3 linked regions of the Schizosaccharomyces pombe genome follow. The main gene of each other region encodes a partner of the protein of the gene in region 2 in a complex. Each region holds a gene or a part of one and is shown on either strand. Other genes may lie near its edges. The genes, in order: atg1, atg101 and atg17.

The links.
Region 1: atg101 (region 2) and atg1 share a complex: the UniProt entries of both Schizosaccharomyces pombe proteins name them as parts of the atg1 kinase complex.
Region 3: atg101 (region 2) and atg17 share a complex: the UniProt entries of both Schizosaccharomyces pombe proteins name them as parts of the atg1 kinase complex.

The regions. Positions count from the first base shown.
Region 1 is NC_003421.2:848,377-855,615, forward strand, and holds atg1 (autophagy serine/threonine protein kinase Atg1), read right to left. Parts: upstream 4,307-7,239; 5' UTR 4,229-4,306; coding exon 4,127-4,228; intron 4,065-4,126; coding exon 1,674-4,064; 3' UTR 1,457-1,673; downstream 1-1,456. Other genes in the region: thg1 (tRNA guanylyltransferase), read left to right, coding at 258-493, 555-855, 952-1,056, 1,110-1,253; dolichol kinase Sec59, read right to left, coding at 6,275-7,239. UniProt on the Schizosaccharomyces pombe protein: Serine/threonine protein kinase involved in the cytoplasm to vacuole transport (Cvt) and found to be essential in autophagy, where it is required for the formation of autophagosomes.
Region 2 is NC_003424.3:2,525,167-2,530,133, forward strand, and holds atg101 (protein Atg101), read left to right. Parts: upstream 1-2,791; 5' UTR 2,792-2,871; coding exon 2,872-2,935; exon of another isoform or gene 2,936-2,987; coding exon 2,988-3,478; downstream 3,479-4,967. Other genes in the region: histone demethylase Jmj1, read left to right, coding at 751-2,145; mug105 (ubiquitin-fold modifier-specific protease), read left to right, coding at 3,919-4,653. UniProt on the Schizosaccharomyces pombe protein: Autophagy factor required for autophagosome formation. Component of the atg1 kinase complex in which it stabilizes atg13. Is also responsible for recruiting downstream factors to the autophagosome-formation site. Has a role in meiosis and sporulation.
Region 3 is NC_003424.3:1,224,901-1,231,754, forward strand, and holds atg17 (autophagy-associated protein kinase activator Atg17), read right to left. Parts: upstream 3,922-6,854; 5' UTR 3,752-3,921; coding exon 2,516-3,751; 3' UTR 2,380-2,515; downstream 1-2,379. Other genes in the region: rio1 (RIO family protein kinase), read left to right, coding at 699-825, 911-1,036, 1,139-2,379; protein-S isoprenylcysteine O-methyltransferase Mam4, read right to left, coding at 4,460-5,170; caa1 (aspartate aminotransferase), read right to left, coding at 5,888-6,854. UniProt on the Schizosaccharomyces pombe protein: Autophagy-specific protein that functions in response to autophagy-inducing signals as a scaffold to recruit other ATG proteins to organize preautophagosomal structure (PAS) formation.

The sequences.
Region 1 (7,239 bases), on a different chromosome or scaffold from region 2:
TCTTTTCATCCACTGTTAGCATATTTCAAGTTATATAACATTATCTTAATAAAAAAAATAAATTACGAGACATGGCATTTTTTGCCATCCAATATGCTAAAAATTATAACGAACGATAATCTATCGCTAATTATGATTCAAGGTTGGTTAGGAAATTCACATTTTCAAACGAAGCATTTTCGGTGGGCTTTTTGAGGAAATTACATGGAAAAAGGTCGGGGCTACATTATATTATACATATAATTTGTTATGAAAGGATGGCCAAGTCAAGGTTTGAATATGTGAAGCAATACGAAAGATTGGATCGTTTACTACCTGAGACTTATATCGTAATACGAATTGATGGCAAAGGATTCCATAAGTTCACAAAGAAACATGATTTTGAGAAGCCAAATGATTTGAGATGTCTAAATTTAATGAATGCAGCAGCTCGCGTAGTCATGTCTGAGTTCACCGACATCGTTTTAGCTTATGGTGATAGTGATGAGTATAGGTATGCATGAAAACAGAATAATAAGCTCATGAATCGAATAAACTAACCTTTCTGCTTGAAGTTTTGTTTGGTCTAAGAGTACCGAATTGTATGAACGGCGCGAGAGTAAGCTTGTTAGCCATGTCTGCTCTTTATTTACATCTGCTTTTGTCTTCAATTGGCCTAAACATTTTGACATTCCACTACTTTCACTCCCTTCATTTGATGGACGAGCTGTACTTTATCCTAATATGAAAGTATTAAGAGATTATTTGCATTGGCGACAAGTAGACTGTCATATTAATAACCTTTACAATACTACCTTCTGGATGTTAATACTCAAAGGAGGTTTCACAAACACTCAAGCCGAGGAGTACCTAAAGGTAAGTAGCTCATTTTTTTTTATGTAAACCCTAGCGATTTATCTTCCTTTCAATAAAAACTAACCACTTTCACCTTTTGGGTGAATTACTTTACAGGGTACCGTCAGCGCAGAAAAACATGAAATTTTGTTCTCAAAATTCGGCATCAACTATAATTTTGAACCAGAGATATACAAAAAGGGCTCGATTTGGATTCGTGAGGTATGCTCGACAAACTTTGTTTAAATTAATTTTTGCTTACTTATTTAATTTAGCCTATTGATCAAGAATGGCATCAACAAGACAAAAAGTTCTCCGTAAAACAAAAGAAGAAAATGGTTTTATCTATCCTTCACGTAAGTCTGATAGACGATGACTTTTGGACTTCAAGGCCATTTCTTGAGGTATTGTTACAATAATTTCCTTTCACACATTTGTAAATTATGGGTCGTTTGAACAAAAACATTATCACTCGTTTAATTGTTTCTCTCATGCAGTCATCAGCTCTAGGCCGTATAAAACAAATCTTTGTTTTGGAAATCAAAAAAGTACTAGATTCTTGCCTTGATACGTTAAATAGCTGTTTTACTTGTTTGAAAAATTTAAGAGAAAAAAAATAATATGCACGAAATTTGAATAGAGATAAACCTCAATAAATAAGAGTTAAATATACGGGACTATCAACCCTATGTATAAAAAAAGCAAAATTAAAAACGTCTATATTAAAAAGTTATATAAATAATATGGTCATAACAACGAATTCATAACAAAATTTAGACTCAGAGCTCAGCTCATACAATATGCGAATTTGTTCAATAAAAGGGCGAAATCGTCGGTGTTCAAGCAAGATTGGGGGCAAGTGTTATTTTCGCAACACTTTCTGTTACTTTGTTGGCTACATTAGCCTGGATTTGTTTCGATTGTAAAAGTTCTTGCCTTTTCGTTATCAAAGCAATCAAATTTCTTATGGTTACTGAATTATTGGAATCGTTAGCACCGTCTGGAGTCGAAAAATTACTCTCAAGAAGTGACTCCAACAAATGTGCTGCAAGCCGGTAATTTTGTAAACAAGCCTGTGCATCATTTCCTGACAGTTCACTAGTGGCTGCATTTCTGGATAGGTCCAATGCTCTATGATAAATTAATTGAGAAGCTGACACAGGTTTGGTAGTTGGCAAAGAATGTGCGGCACTTTGAGAAATAATAATTTCACGTAAAAATTGGGATTTCTCAAGACTTTCTGAATACCTTTGACGAAACCATTCAATGGCTTGTTGGCAATCAGGAGATGCACGTTCTTCAGAGTTGGCCCAAAAAGCAGCAACACCGTCAAACGCCACTTGTAACAGCTCAATGTCTCTCTCATAAAGTACATACGATTCCTTGGCTAACATAACCAATGAAAAAGGAGTCAAAGGTCTATCCAAGAGTGTATCTCCAGGCTTCATTTCATCAGACAAAGAAGGAATAATTTGAGCAAGCTTCACTTCAGCCAGATGGTAGACAGAGTTTGATTTCATCGCTATACTTTCTAAAACATCAAGCAATCTTTTACCGGTGTCAGGTAAGGAAGGTTGGATAATGTTGACATTGTTATCCAAATTGCTTTCTTTTGTAGGAAGGGATGTGTTTCCATTATCTGTCATACCATCCACTACAACTTCATTAAGCCTAGCGTTTGCAACATTTAGTGCTCGTTCTAGAGCGCTTTTATTTCGCGCACCACCTCCAGATTGAGGTACATGTGCTGTAGCTTGCTCAAACGCACGACGTAGTTGAGTGACTGGGGTTGAAGCAATGTAGGTAGGATTAGAAGGGAAAGCATTGGGTTTCATGTAAGGGATTTGCATCCGGCTAGTATGGGGAAACGCATGATTATTTACAGGAGCGCTTTCAGGAGAGAAACTACCTTGAAAAACACCTTCGTTTGGTGAAGGCGAGTTACCATTGATTGATTGCTCGTGGGTTAGGCTTTCATTGGAAAGTTGGGTAGAAGAGATTATGGGATGATGGTCCACTACGACATAGGCGCTACTTTTGTTCGAAGTATCACTTGTCAACTTAGCAGGAGATGCCATGGGTATAGGTTGCTTAGAGGTTAATCGAGGAGGGAAAATGCTAGCAGCAGGAGCACTTTCAGGAGGAAACACGGGGGTGTATGGTAAAGTGTTTCCATCTTGTGCATAGCGATGAGGCACCCTTCGACCGGTAATTTCAGAGGGCTGAATACTAGACCCCTGAGCTTGGAAAGCTTGACGCAACAAACCGCCTGGAGGAGCAGGAGCGCCAGGATTACTTTTTGGGAAAAAATCGGTTATGTAGGCAGGACTAGAAGATGGAATGTTTATTTCCTTAACCGCATCTTGAATATCGCTACCGGTCAAAGTAGATGCGTCATCTAATGGAGTAGTGACAACAATACTGGAAAAGAAACCGTCGTAGTCGATACGATCAGCCGGATTTTGCTTCAGCAAAGCACAGATAAGGGTTTTAATGTCCGGGTGAATGAAAGCTTCTTCAGGAAACTTGATGACATCTTTAGCTTTTTGAATCCTCCTAAGAAGTTCGACATGATTTGGGGCCTTGAAGGGAGGCTTTCCAACAGCCATTTCGTATAACACAGCACCTACTGACCACAAATCGGCTTTAGCATCATATTTCTCGTAACGAAGTATTTCGGGCGCCATATACAACGGAGAGCCACATAGAGTTTCCGCCATACTAGACGTTTGAAGGTAACGTGCAAAACCAAAGTCTGCTAATTTAAGCATTGGTAGCTTGGGACTTCCCACAAACTGGGGATGCTCTTCCAGATAGGCAGCGGTGGGTGGTGGTTGTAAAAGAAGATTTTGGGGTTTGACATCTCGATGAATTAAAGAACGCGATCGTAAAAATTGGAGTGCAGAAGCAAGTTGTTGGGTAAAATGCCGAACCAACGTCTCATTCAATCCAGCCTTGTAAACTGGCGGATGATCGATGTTGATCCAGGCTAAGGAGGGAATACTGTTAAACTTTTCTCGCTTTCGAATAAAATAACTCAAATCTCCTAGGGAGCAATACTCCATGACCAGGTGAATGAACCGCCCAGCCTTAATACAGTCTATCAGTTCCACAACATGCACATGACGGATCTCTTTAAGGATTGAAATTTCACTTTCTAAATTCTCCAAAAGTTTCTTAGTAAGCTTCTTTGTCAATACGCTTTTAATAGAGATCACTCGATTCGTTTCCTGCAACACGATTAGCCACCAAATTCCATTGAAACAGACAAGCAGTTGCTTCTTTTACTTACCGTGTGCTTTCCTTTATACACAATTGCGAAAGATCCACGTCCAATTTCCGATCGAATGACATAGGGACCAATTGTTTGATTTGTACTCGTCTGTAAGTTCATACAGCTTCTGGTTCACGATAAGACAGGTGTAAGGGTTTTAGCTGCCTTTATACTCACTTTGATAGCATGGGAGTTGGCAAGGATAGCGGGTCGCCATTGATAATATAGCTGCGTAAAAGGCACTTTCCGCACTGGGCTTTAATACCTTAAAATAAATTGCGATCGTGGTGCGGCTGTAAAAGGTAACAGGAGATATGGTTTCGGGATAACAAGTTTTATGGGAGTAAGCACTATGAATAGAATGCGAGTTTATAGAGGAAATTGTATTAACTCAATGAATTATAATATTTTACACACATATACCTGCTGGTAGTGTCTAAATTCTTTGAAATTGTTCCCTTTTTGTGCAGCTGAAAAATGCCGAAAGTGGGTTAAGACGAAATAAATGTGTTAATTTTTGCCATGTCAGTTACCGATTTGAGTACGGAAAGCAAGTGTGTGTGGAATTAGAGGATAAGAACGGAAGTAGATAATACTCCAGACGAAGCGTAGATACCCGCGAAAAGGCAAATTAGTTGGAAAAGGCGATTGTCATGGATAGAGTGATCGAGGCAGATGAAAATGCAAGTGTAAATAGAGGGTAAATTTGGATAAAAAACCGGCGGCAGATGTACAACTTGTACCACTGTACCAGTTTCATGCCATATAGAAATAATATAAAAAAAAAAAGTAAACTGGATTTAAAAGACAAAAAAAAAAGAAAAGAAGGAGCCTACAGCACCCCGGATTCCCATGTTGTCTCCAACCATAGTACTAACGAGGCCCTCAGACGCTTAACTGCAGTGATCGGACGGGAACTGGTGTTTTCGCCTAGGTATGGCCGTAGACATTTGTTGTGTTAAATAATAATATTTATGGTTGAAGAAAAGAATATCATTTTTTTTATGCAGTGTGAGTTTTGGCTCAAACGCATGTATATAATACTACAAAACAGGGAATTGGGCAATGACTAGTATTCAAACATGCCCTGAGGACTTGAAGACCATAATGGAAGGTAAGAACTCTCTTGCAGAAAATTAAAAGAAAATTTCCAATCATAATATGTTGCTTTTCTCTTTATTGATATATACGAGATTGGTTGTGGAATCCAAATTTCTAAAACAGACTTTAAAGTCAACATTAGCGAAAACGCTACTGAAAACAAGCAACGTTATAAAAAATTCACCTTCTCACCATGAATAGTTTAATTTTGTATTTGCGTGATAATAAAATAAATAAATTAATTCGAGAATATAAAATAAAAAAAGTTTTGAAACTGAATATAAGTGCTTGTTGCCAATAATACTGCAATGAAGTTTGAAACAAAAAATAAAAAAAAATAAAGTAAAAATAATAAGTTAATCAAAATTTTGATTTTGTAGCAATAAATAAATTAATGAATTTTTTTTTAATCTATTATTTTCTAGGAAATTTGGAAAATTAATAAATGGAATTAAAATGCTTATGCTCCGAGTCGTACACTGTTTAATTAATTTTAAGCAAGCAAAAATAATATACTGTTCGTTTCGAAGCAACCTATTCTACTTAAAATTGTGCCACGATATCCGCTCAGATACTCGTTGTTATACATTTCTCAATAAATGAATATTTTGATCTTCCTAAATATGCGAACTGTAATAGTCAATTACCTTTAAATATATGACTGATTGAATAGCAAAACTATATATACATATATTTTGTAATATCATTTTTACCGAAATTTATAGTCCGTTTTAGTTTTATTCGTTTCATAGTCACATCTGCCATCTTTTTTTTGCTCACGTTGGTTTTTTGTAAACAGTATTCTCAGTGGATGCTGTTGTTAAGGTGATTATGATTTAATGATAGGCCTGGCAATACGTAAAATTTTTCTTTTTATTTTATTAAAGGAAATCTATTTACGTCGAATTAGTAACAAAGAGAATATGCAAAGAATTACATCTTTGGTTTATTTTTTCATATATAAGCACATATATGTATTTTTCTTTTGTTTGTCATTTGCAAAGCATCAGAGTTATGAGATATTTTACTTTGATGTTGCAAAATATTTTATGGAATTAAACATTCTTAATCCAAGGCTTGATACAATACCCACATGTACATTGGAAGTATGAGATTGTCATTCTCCGTTGAGACACCTTCCAAAATGGCCGTACATAAGGACATAAACAGCGTTTTCCAAAACGTTACTGAAGGACACACATGAAAAGCTTGCGTCAAGTGTAAAACGAGAAACACTGAGATTGAAAAGGCAAATACCCCCTCAATACTTTTATTCGTTTTTGAGATCCTATGTTTTCCGAACCTTTTCCCAATTATGCTAGCCATAGAATCTCCACACCCTAAACATAAAACACCAACCAGTAATTCAACCGACGCAACAGGACCTTTTAAAGCATTCGAAAGCCAAATAGGAATTGCACAACCAATTAAAAGATATATATGGGAAATAATCAAGGGGCCCTTGTGATCCCTGTTATCGGTATACTCCCATAAAAATTCATGGATCATTTTTCCAAATGGCTTAAGACGAAGTATGCGTATACCTTCAACAAACAGAAATATGAATAAAACTCCCGAAAAAGACAGGTGGAGAAAATGAGGATCTAAGCAACAAACCGGAAGAAATAAAAAGACAACCAAAGCATGATATGTCTTTCTACGAAAGTTCAGCACTTCATCTTCAGTGGTAAAGTATTTGCCAAGTGGATTATTACGGTTGCTTCGCAGAAGAATAAAAATAAAACAACCAAGGCAAATTATCCACCAAATAATTATTTTAATCCTCGTTAGGGAATTCCTATGCGAAAAAATTTGGTTGAACAACCATACTTCAGGTGCTTGTCCAAGTTGCCCAGCAACCCATGACCTGGACACTAAAAATACGAGCAAAGCGCTAAAGAAATAAATTAAACAAGTAGTAAAGAGTGCCGATAAATGTAATTTAGCAGCAAGCTTTAATATGCAAAGGTTTAACAAAATGAGTGTAGGTAAGGAAATGAGTAAAACTCCCGATAGCACTGAAACTACAG
Region 2 (4,967 bases):
TTATTTCCATTCTTTGTTTTTATTTTTTTTTTTATTTTCAATATTACTATAAATTCTCATTTTATAAAAATAGATTTTGCAACAGTAAAACTTGGACCGAGTTGATGATGTCTACACTTGTAGTATGGCTTTTTAAAAAAAAAAAAAAAAAAAGATAATAATTATCATCCTTACTTCCTCGAAAGTATAGATAAATCTTTGCGTTCACATTCAGTGTATAATCTAATGTTTACCTCTGTGATTCTTATTTAACTTGTAAACCTTGGTACGGGCATATTATCTCGCTCGTTTCCTGAATGTCTGAGTTTAAATGATAGATATCCGATTTCTGCTTTATTTTTATTTTTATTCTTGCATTCAGTTAAATAAATTAATTTTATTATTTGGTAGTTTTCATAAACTTTTGGCAAACAAATACACACTCCAATAAATATACTCACTCTCTGTAGCGTAAGGAGTACTCACCTTATCTGACTATCTGATGCTATTTTCATATGAAAATTGAGGTCAGACGGTAAATAGCATTTTCCATTCTTCTTATCCCTTCTTTTTTTTTTTTTTTTTTTTACTTAACACCAACTTCGTGATGTCGTGATCCATCATCCATTTATCCTTCCGTAACCTCAGTCAATTTATCATCGTCATCGTATAGCTACACCCGCTGGTCATTTTACTAGCGAAAAAACAACATTTTGTTACGTAAATTACATATACACTTTCTCCACTAAATGAATCATCAAGTTCATCACGATGGTGTATCGTCCCACTGCTCATGAGTTTGACGACTTACCGAAAATCGAGTTCATAGATTCATGCCCATACCAGGTATTCCTTGAGCAGTATCTAAAACCTTGCGTTCCCGTACTTATTGGACCGAAGCTTACTGCTCAATGGAAAGCAAATACTACGTGGATAACTAGTAAGGGTGATCCTAATATCCTGCATAGTTACATTCTACCTGACAAACCTTGTACTTCTAGAGACAACACTAGTGGGAATTCACTACTAAACGACAATGATATAAAGAATTTCATTAGGTCATATGCAGAAAGGATTGTGAATAATGAGGATAAAAATGTGTTTTTGGATTCGTTATTGTTATCGCCAAACTATGAATACTTAGAAGAAAATTACGGAACGATTCCTGTACCATTGGCTTATTGCAATGAAAAAGATCGTTATGGATCTCAACGTCGTGAAACAGTTCCCTTGAAGAGTGCACTTCATGAACTTCGCGATGAACAGGTCCAACTACAATGCCGGCAGGCTCCAAGTAATCAGGCTTTGAAATCCTTATATGCCAAGGATATGCACTTGTTTCGACATCTAGACCCTGCCGATTTTCCTTACAGTACTCCGGACATTTTCGCCGACGACTGGTTAAATGCATACGTGATTGATTGTGAATCCGATGATTTCCGTTTCGCATATTTAGGTAGTCATTTAACGACTACTGGCCTACACACCGATGTCTATGCTAGCCACTCCTTCTCTGTTAATCTCTGCGGTGTGAAATGCTGGCTTTTTATCGATCCCAAAGACCTTCAAACGATTGCCTCCCTTTATGATGACCAGCAATTACCTTCATGGATCACAAAAGATGATTTATTTAGAGGTCCACTTGTAAATCATCGACATTTGATAAAAATTCTCTTCCAATATCCTGGACAAACAGTGTTTGTTCCAAGTGGTTGGTATCATCAGGTTTTAAATATTGGAACTACACTCTCTATCAACCATAATTGGTGTAATGCATCTTGCATTTTACAAATGTACACCGCATTAAAAGAGCAGTATGAAGTTTCCGCAGAGTCTCTCAAGGATTTGCTGGAGGATGGAATCGTAACAAAGGACAGATTTTCTCAGGTTGTTACAGAAGTGGTGGAAGCAAACTACGGTTGGTGTTGGCGTCGATTTTGGGGTATGATCAAACATCAGCTCAAACGAAGGGATGCAATATTACATAGTTCTGAATACTTCTCAAAATGGCCCATACAACCTGAGTTTCTTCCTCCATTATCATGGGAGTATTCAATTTTAAAAAATATTTTACTAAATGATGAGCCCGGCAGCACCTTCGATTCTGGTTCTCCTCCTTCATCGATTGTCACGATCTTTAAATCTCTCGGTGATTTTAAAGAATAGTACTACTCATCTAAACTCCTTTTAAAATGATGTTTTTTTCATTCTGCGTCTGCTTTCTTCAATTTTGCTTACGTCTTTGTATCATTCTCATGCAATGGTTTCCCCAGACAAATACCATCCATATAATTAGTTTACCAGTAATATAGATAGATTTAGATATGTAAAATAAAAATTAAAAAAATTACTTTAGTAAACAATATCCGAGAGATGTTGCTTAAGTTATAAATTTATAATTGATGTATGCTGTAAAAACTCTTAAGACACTGGTGTTTACTTTAATATACTAAAAAAAATTATTTAAAAAAATCACTATTGATAGTTCAGGTTAAAATGTTGATTTTCTTTAGAGCCAGGTCTTCGGAAGTCCCTTCTTGCATTTTGAACTCACATGTGTTAGTAGGAAAATAAACATTTACAATTATCTATCGTCATATATAATTCTTACAATTAATCGTTTTCTAGTTTCAAATACTAAAAATATTTAAATTCACAGACTAATTGGATAATTAGATGTTTAAAAAAATGTGGACGCTTTGCAATGTACAATGCAGAAAGTGTTTATTTACATTGAGATTCAGAACGAGTAACACGTTACCTAAAAAAATTGGAGGACCCTATATATGCACGAACGTAATGTATTTCACTTGATTGACCAAGTTCAAAGTTCAATGCAAGTATCTTAGTTTGCATTCCTCAATTTTACTCTTCCAAAATTTTAGAGATTAAATGACAAACACGGTGACAATTGAACTGAAAATTGGTTATAAGTATGCTGCTGAGGTTGTAAAAGGTAAGTCAAATTAGTTGCTGGAAATATTACATATCAAAGTCTAATCCTTTAGCCGTTTTAGGTGTAATTCTATTTCATAGACAGTTTTCTACTGTTCCTGCTAGGACAATTGACGTTTTAGACATTACGGTTCCTACTCTGGTTGGTGCAGAACTAAATGAACAACTAGCAACTAAAGCGGCGGAATTTATTGATACCATTCGAAATGAGGCTGGTGCAAATGGTCAGATGATTTTACTGTTGTATGAAAGATCGCCTAAAAAGTCTTGGTTTGGGAAGGGAAATACAATTCCTTGGGAACAATGGATCTTGCACACTACCATTTTAGAAGAGGGTGACTCTTATCAAGAATCTTCTTTATCTCTAGAGGCAGCAGTTGAGCAAATTGTGCAAGCAGTTAACCTTCGAAGCCTTTCATACCTGCCCCCAGTTGCTATGGATTCCGGGAATTACCCGTATGAAATTGTAACTCCTACTTCAACAGAAGGTTGGGGCTCACTGCTGAAGCGAATGATTATAGAAAACGTTAGTGGAGGTGATTAAATCAAATCTCACCAGGTTTGTACTTCAAACTTGATTTCTCATTCAGCATTTAAAATTCTTCATTCACCATACATCTATACGGTTTGGCGACGCAAAGCTCCATATGTTAACATGTTGCTGGAGAATTATGTATCGATGGTATATTTACATGCTACTTGTAATCCTTTCGCAATTGATTATTTTGGACTAATGAAACTTGCATGCGTTAATATAGTACATTCGCGCATGGGTTATAAGAAAGTTGGATTTAGGACGGATGCTGTGCCATTTATATCATGACTTTAATTGACAGCCATAATTTTTGAAATTAGCGTTTGTACTTTCCAAAGTTGTTTTAACAAAATGACCGGCGCATTCTTAATCGACTTTTAGCTTACCGAGATTTAACGTGTGAATATTTTTTAAATTTACTCATTTCTTTTTACATTTCGAAATTTACTATGTCAAAATGCTTGCAGCAGCTTAAACGACAACTTCAGCATTTCGGCATAGATGGATGCTCATTAGCAGATGGTGACATCGATTATTTTTTCACAGTTACCGGTATTGATCGTGGATGGGGCTGTGGTTGGCGCAATATACAGATGTTAATTTCCTGGCTTCAATACACCAATCCAAATTGGTTTAAACGTAATTTTAGTAGTGGAAATTATGAAATCAATTCTTTGCAATCGTTGTTGCTCAGCGCTTGGATGAAAGGTATAGATGCCGAAGGTTATGCTCAATTAGGAGACAACTTGCATGGTAAATGGATTGGTGCTACTGAGGTTTATAGCCTATTTACCGGGTTGTTTGTCAACGTCGCTTTAGTAGACTTTGATTTCAGATCTGAAGCTTCTGCTAGCAATGCACTTTTTCTTTACGTTAAAAAACATTTTGAAAGTTCTAATGATACAAGCAATGTTTCTCCATGTTATTTACAATTTCAAGGGCATTCTATCATTATCATTGGGTTCTGTTCTTCTTTAGAAACTCTTGTTGTGCTTGATCCAGATCGTTATCAGAGTGTTCAAAAAAAGTTTGTGAATATTGCGGACTTTAATCACTGTTATATGCGAAAAAAGCGATCTTTGAAATTCTCACAATTTCAATTGGTACATTTTAAGCAAAACATTTTTTTAAATGATTTCAGTTCAAAACTGGAAGTTCGTTCTACCAGAATTTCGGACTTTTAGCTGTCCAAGCGCTGGTGATGTTTTTCATAATATTTATGAAGGCCGTTTCCCCATATATTAATTTATAGAAAAAGGAAAAACTGTTGAAAAATAATAATATATCTGATTATTCTCTTTTGACTTACTACTATGTAGTATACGTATATTTAAAATTGTTGATAGTTTCTCATATTTTCATATAGCGACATTGTTATTGAATTTAAAATTTGTTGTTTTGCGGTGAATTCGGTGTTTACATCGGTATATCCGACTTTGGCTTCCGAATGTGGATAAAGGCTAAAGTTGTTACCAAAAGTAAACAACTACCAGCCTTG
Region 3 (6,854 bases), 1.3 Mb from region 2:
ATCAATCTTTGTGGTAACAGAGTTCTAAGAATCTACAACATAATAATTCATTCATACTAACCAAGATGAGAAATTCTTTGAGTTGTTGATGTTGATTTTGTTATGTTTTTTCTATATGAAACTGTATTAACTGAAGATCGTTTGCTTTTCTCTTTACTGCCGCATCAATTTCCAAATATAATATTTCTTTATTAAACTACTGGGAATGCACAATCAAATTGGTAGAAAGCGCGCTAGCTTAATTGAGTATGTGATTTTTTAGATGCCAAGTATGCATTAGTGTTAAATAAGCAAGCTGCTCTTGAGCGTCAGCGTTTCAGTAATGAATTTAAAAAAATGCATATATGAGCTTATGTATTGTTTCTTTTCTATCTGACTTTTTATTGTCAAGCTTTAATGAGGAAAGCCGCTCACACTAACATTAAATGTCTTTTGGAAATGTAATATATATTTTATTGATCGAAGAATGGAAAAAATATAATCCACTAAATTAAAAAAAAAATCATTGGTTTGCAAAAATCATCTTGTAACTTATGGTAATCATAATTTGCTAACTTCTTACATTTTTATATACCAGTTTTATTTACAACAAAAAGTTTTTACTACCACCTACAAAATACAAAAACTTGGATTTGTATCCAGTTCTTTGTCAAATTTTTAAATAAATTATTCTTTTATTGATTTATTTAAAGTTTAAGATGGTTGAGGAGTTAAAAAACGATGCACAGACAAATGAAGAAGAATCAGAATATAGCGACTTTAGTGATGGCTCTGACAATGATTACTTTAGGGAAGACGATATAGACTGGAATCAAGCTTCTTCAAGTAAGTTCATATACTGAATAGCCAAAAGCACTTTGCATGAATTTTTGTTACCATTTTTCATGATCATTAATAACATTTTTACTAGATTATTCTGCTAGACAGGAAAATTTTGGGAATAATTCTTCTAAGATCAATTCAGTTAATGATCACGTTTCTACGCTTAGTCGTTATGTGAATAATATAAAATTAAATGACAGGTTTGAGGCAGAGGGTAAGTGTAATATAGTTTAACTGCTCATAGGTTTTAGAACTCGAGGTCTTTTGATCCTTCACACTTTTACATTTTCATGTTTAATAGTACTGACAAATAAAGACAAGTCATCTATCAAGGATAAAAGTGACCGCGCTACATCTGAACAAGTGCTGGATCCCCGTACTCGAATGATTTTATTAAAATTAATAAATAATGGAACTATATCAGAAATTAATGGTTGTATAAGCACGGGAAAGGAAGCAAATGTGTATCATGCAACAAACGAGGATGGTAAACATTTTGCTATAAAAATTTATAAGACTTCAATCTTAGTATTTAAGGATCGTGACCGCTATGTTTCTGGAGAATTTCGTTTTCGTCATGGGTATAACAAGCGCAATCCCCGAAAAATGGTACGCTTATGGGCTGAAAAAGAAATAAGAAACTTGAAGCGTGTGGCTGCTGCTGGTATTCCTTGCCCAGAGCCAATCTTATTGAAGCAGCACGTTTTGCTTATGTCGTTTCTGGGGGACAAGAAAGGATGGGCATACCCCAAGTTAAAGGATATAGATATGACGCCTGGTGAGGCTACTAAATTATATCAGCTTGTAGCACGGAATATGCGTATTTTGTTTCATGTTTGTCATCTCGTGCATGCTGACTTGTCAGAATATAATTTACTTTATCATAAAGGTAAAGTTTATTTTATTGATGTATCACAATCGGTTGAACATGACCACCCGCAGAGCATCGATTTTTTAAGAATGGATATTTTAAACATTTCTACATTCTTTAGGCGTTTGAATGCTGGTTGCTTATCTTTACCTCAATTATTTAAATTCATTACTGAAGAAGGAAGTTGTGAAAAGGAAGCCATGAAAACCCGGTTAAATGCAATTTATGAGGAAGAACCTACTACAGAAGAATACGAAGAGGAATTCTTAAAAACTTATGTTCCTCGGACTTTAGATGAGGTATACGACATTGATCGAGATACTGAAATCGTAAACGCCGGAGGTGTTAATAGCCTTGTATATAAGCACTTATTAAATACAGACTTTCAAAAATTGGATTTAAATGACACTACAAAAAATCAAAACGATCAAATCCTCCCAAATGAGACTTCGGAGAGCGATGATGATGCAAATTCTATAAGTAGTATGGAAAATGAAGAAGAACGGACTTCGGATTCAAAATCATCTGCAAAACAAGGTAAAGGAAACGGACGTGCAAAGGAGACACCGGAGGAGAAGAGGGCACGGAAAAAAAAAACCAAAGAAGATAAGGCTGAGAAAAGAAAATCCAAGATTCCGAAGTATGAGAAGAAGCGCAAACTAAAACAATCTGGAAGAAAAAAGTAATCAGGGGAAAAAATTACGGTTATTTTATATAATTATCTTTATTGGAAAAGTCTATACAATACTCATAAACTAGTAGCATAACTAAAATCATTATACGTTTATAGACTTTAAAAATCGTAAAATATGGCTAACAGGGTCATCGCTTAGAGGCTGTAGTAGAAGATTTTTCACGTTGCTTCGATTTCTTATCGTTTTTATCAGGAATTACCTTTACGTTTGGCAATTCTGTATATTGGTGCTCTATAATTTCAAAATGTAAAGGAGGATCTGTTACAGCTCCCCATAGAGTCTGGGGTAAATAATCACCATATTGATTGAAAAAATCGATACGACATTTCGCCTCCGCCTGTTGTTCCTTCTCCAGGCGTCCCACAAATTCGTCCACAATGGATCTTACACAATTTTCATAGGTTTGTCGTCTGTGAATTTCCTGAAGGAGAGCGGTATACGCTTTAGCAAAATGTGTGTAATGTCTTTCAAGCTGCACGAGTTCTTGAGCTAATTGCGGAATCTCCAGGCCGGTTTGCGCCCTCATTAACTCATGCGCGGCTTCATGCCTTTGATTAGTCAACTGGTTTTTGTTTAACTCCTCAGCCAAGGCTTCCAAAATCGATGTTGCCGAATCTACCTTTGACTTATAACTTTGAACTGCGTTGAAATAATGAATTGTTTGATCTAATCCACTCCTAAGTTCTGTCAATACCGAAGGAACATGATTAGAGTCTGATTGAAGCACTTCTTGGAGATCTTTCTTCTCCGCATCAGAAAGGGTGTCATAAATATTGAGAGCTTCGGAGCATTGATCGTAATGTTGAGCAACTTGCAAAAGCAAATCCGCAAGTTCTTCGGCAGTATCGTTATAAGCGGGAGGTAAGAAGTCTAATGAAACAGCTTCTAAACGTTTATGATAATTGGCACACAAATCTTCTTCCAGTAAACCCGCTAGCTTTTCGAAAGCATTCCAAACACCATCAGTTACGCCTCGGAGCCTGGTTTTCAAATCTTCTAATGCAGTATCATCTACAAATGCATAAAGATTGGTATATTCGCTTCCTAAGGCTGGATCTAATGTACAGTCACGAAGACGTTTAAGTGACGATTCCAATCGATCATGAAGGACGTTTAATTGATTAAATGTTGGATAATTTTGAACTAGATCTAATAACTGCTTAATAAGAGCTGTTGAAGAGTCTAAACGAGTACATTGAGATGCTGTGAGCTTCGCCAACTCTTTTAGCTGTTGATGCTGCTTTATGGAATTTCTCAAATCAGTTTTTGCATCTTCATTAAACTTATGTGCATCACCACACAGTTGCCTGGCTTGAGTAAGAGCTGCTTTGGCTTGCTGAGTCCACTGCTGCAACAATTCCATCACCGCACTCACGCGGTAAAACTGTATTCCTCTTGTATGCACTCCACTGGAAAAGAAACTATATAGATATATAAGGATAGATATATATTTATATATATATCGGCCAACAAACTTTTCAAAAGGACCTTTAATACAAAGGAATTGATTGTGAAGCAGAGTTGTATGCTTGCGGCGAAATTGAAATATAGCAAGTGAGCGCATGTAGCACATATTAATGAGAGCTTGCGAACTACAGCAAATAAATTGCACAATATTGCAGTTGTTTTTCGCTATTTTTCTTTATTTACATAAAGTTGACTGAAGCGATAATTATAATATAGTTAAAACCATAAACGAAAACTAAGAAGAAGAAATGTTTGTTAAGAGTACTATAGCTATGAATAGTAATGATTAAGCAGTAAATCTTTTCAGAATTATTGTGGTTCAAAAGTAAACAGACTATTATTTTTTAAGAGAAAATTTCAGATTAGCTGATCATATTAATGGCACTTCGATGTTTAGCGGAGCTACGAAAACATCTTTAAAATTCTGCAAGACAAAGCGCTGTTATTTGGACAATTGATATCTATTAGCCTTGAAGGAGAAAAAGGCTATAAAAATAATTTGTTATGAGATTTGTATAGTCAGACCTTTAAAAGCTGCTTTGATGATGATACAAATTATTTAAGTATGCTTTTATCAACTATTCAAATAACAATAATAGTGAACCTATGGAATTAAGGGAATTCCAGATGGGACCTTCTTTCGATATTGTTCGTAAGAATCACCAAAAAAACTAACTAAGTAAGCTTCTTCGGTAGTAATTCGCTGTGAGAAAAATTTCCAAAGAACTAGAGAAAATAGTAATGTTGAGACAAAATTTCCTAACAACATTTGAGTGCCCAAAGCCCAGATAAAAAACCCAACGTATGATGGGTGTCTAACGTAAGCATAAATCCCATCAGTGACAAGCAAATGATCTTTATTTCTTTTACTAGCTACAATGTGAGAAAAAGATTGACCGGCTTGTACCATTGCAGAGGATCGTAGATATTGTCCCAAACAAAGAAATCCCAGAGCAGATGTCTGATATACCGAAAATATAAAGTTGATTAAGAAGCTCGGAAATCTTAAGCAATTTATTACCTTAGCAAAACTTTTTCCGCCACTTAATAAGCATTCTAAAAGGCCGACTAACATCGCTAACCAGTAGGCTTTGCCATTATTCAATATGAAAGAATCCCATGATAACTGACTACCTTGAAAACGAGCAGTAATGTAAAACTCTAATAGATGAAAAAGACTCAGAAATGCAAAAAAACCTCCAATACTATATCCGTATATAATCCATACGAAAAATCCCAAACCAAAAACACAACCAAGAAAGGCGCTGGTTAAGCAAATAGATGCTACAGCTATTGACGTATGTAAATTCCCCATGATTGTATATTAAATTCAGGTATGTGAATTCAACTTTCTTTATTAAATTTATCGAGAAGAATTATTGAGTCAAAATGTCCTAACAAACTAACTCATACACATTTAGAGATGTTATAATTATTAATTATTGGAGGAAAGACACGAGAAGAAATAAAATTTATGCAAAGAGGGATATTCCTTGCTTTAGCCTGGTTTTCGAGTTATTAGGATATTTTCAAAATTTCCTGCTTAAAATTATAGTTGACACAATAGGGAAGTAAAACAAAGAAAATCATACTCATATTGTATTACTTAAGTTTTGACTTCTTTTCTTTGTATTGGCTCTAATAGTTGCTAAAAGTTGTATTATATTAATGTAGTAAACCTCGATATAACAAAGAATTCAAATACTCTGTCATTAATCAATTTGCAAGTTATGAATTATTAAAAAAGAACTCTTTCTCAGTTTTGTCTAAACATATCCGATTACAAACTGATATCAACTTGTTTTGCAAATAATGAGCCAAATACTGATGTCTAACTCACAAAGGAGAAGTCCCGGTGTATGAGTTGAACAGATAACTTCATATTATTCAAAAATTCAAAGAATAAATGCATATACTAGTTCTCTAAATTGCTAAAGAATTTGTTCCTAAATTCGTCAAATTTACAACAATCCAAAATTCTGTATTCATGAATCCAATACTTATCTATGTGACTTTGGTATTAATAATCAGTTTAAGGCAACTCGCGAACAGCATGGTTAAATGCCTGTGCAACATGCTCTACATTAGAATTGTTCAAACCAGCCATAGAAATACGACCATTTGCACTGAAATAAAGATGGTACCGCTCCTGGCAAAATTGGACTTGTGCAGGCGTTAAACCGGTAAAAGAAAACATTCCAATTTGTTGTGTAATATGATCCCAAGAACCGGGGGTTTTGAGTGCAACAAGAGAATCGCGAAGACGTTTCCTCATCTCAATGATTCTAGAAGACATAGTCTTTAAATCTTGTTCCCATTCAGCAAACAATTGAGGACTGTTAAGAATTTCGGCAGCAATACGTGCACCGTAAGCGGGAGGGTTAGAAATGGTGTTACGTTGAACAATACACAATTGAGATAAGACCTTGTTTTTAGTGGAAGCGTCCTTTGCAACGTAATGCATGCAACCAGTACGTTCACCATAAAGACCCATATTTTTAGCAAATGACTGACAAACGAAAAAGTCCTTGTTATATTTGACAAACTCGTTTAGAGCCCAAGAGTCACGATTCAGATCACCACTGGCAAAACCTTGATAAGCAATGTCAAAAACTACCAGATGCTTGCGAGAAAGCAGACTCTCGAATATAGAAAGCCATTGTTCCCTAGTGGGGTCAATACCAGTAGGATTGTGAGCACAAGCATGAAGTAAAAATATACTTCCTTCGGGAGCAGATTTAATGGTACTTAGCATGCCTTCGTAATCAAAAGATCTATTCTTGGCATCCCAATAAGGATATGTATCTACAGTGACTCCCAATTTTTCCCACAAAGTGCGATGGACAGGCCAAGTAGGGTTGGAGATGTATACATGGGCTCCAGTGTGCTTTACATAGAAAGTCTCAATGAAACTAGCAGCAAGAAAATTGGCACCAGTACCAGAGACTGACTGCATAGATGCAACACGGTCCTCGGACAATAAATGAGGATTGGGTCTG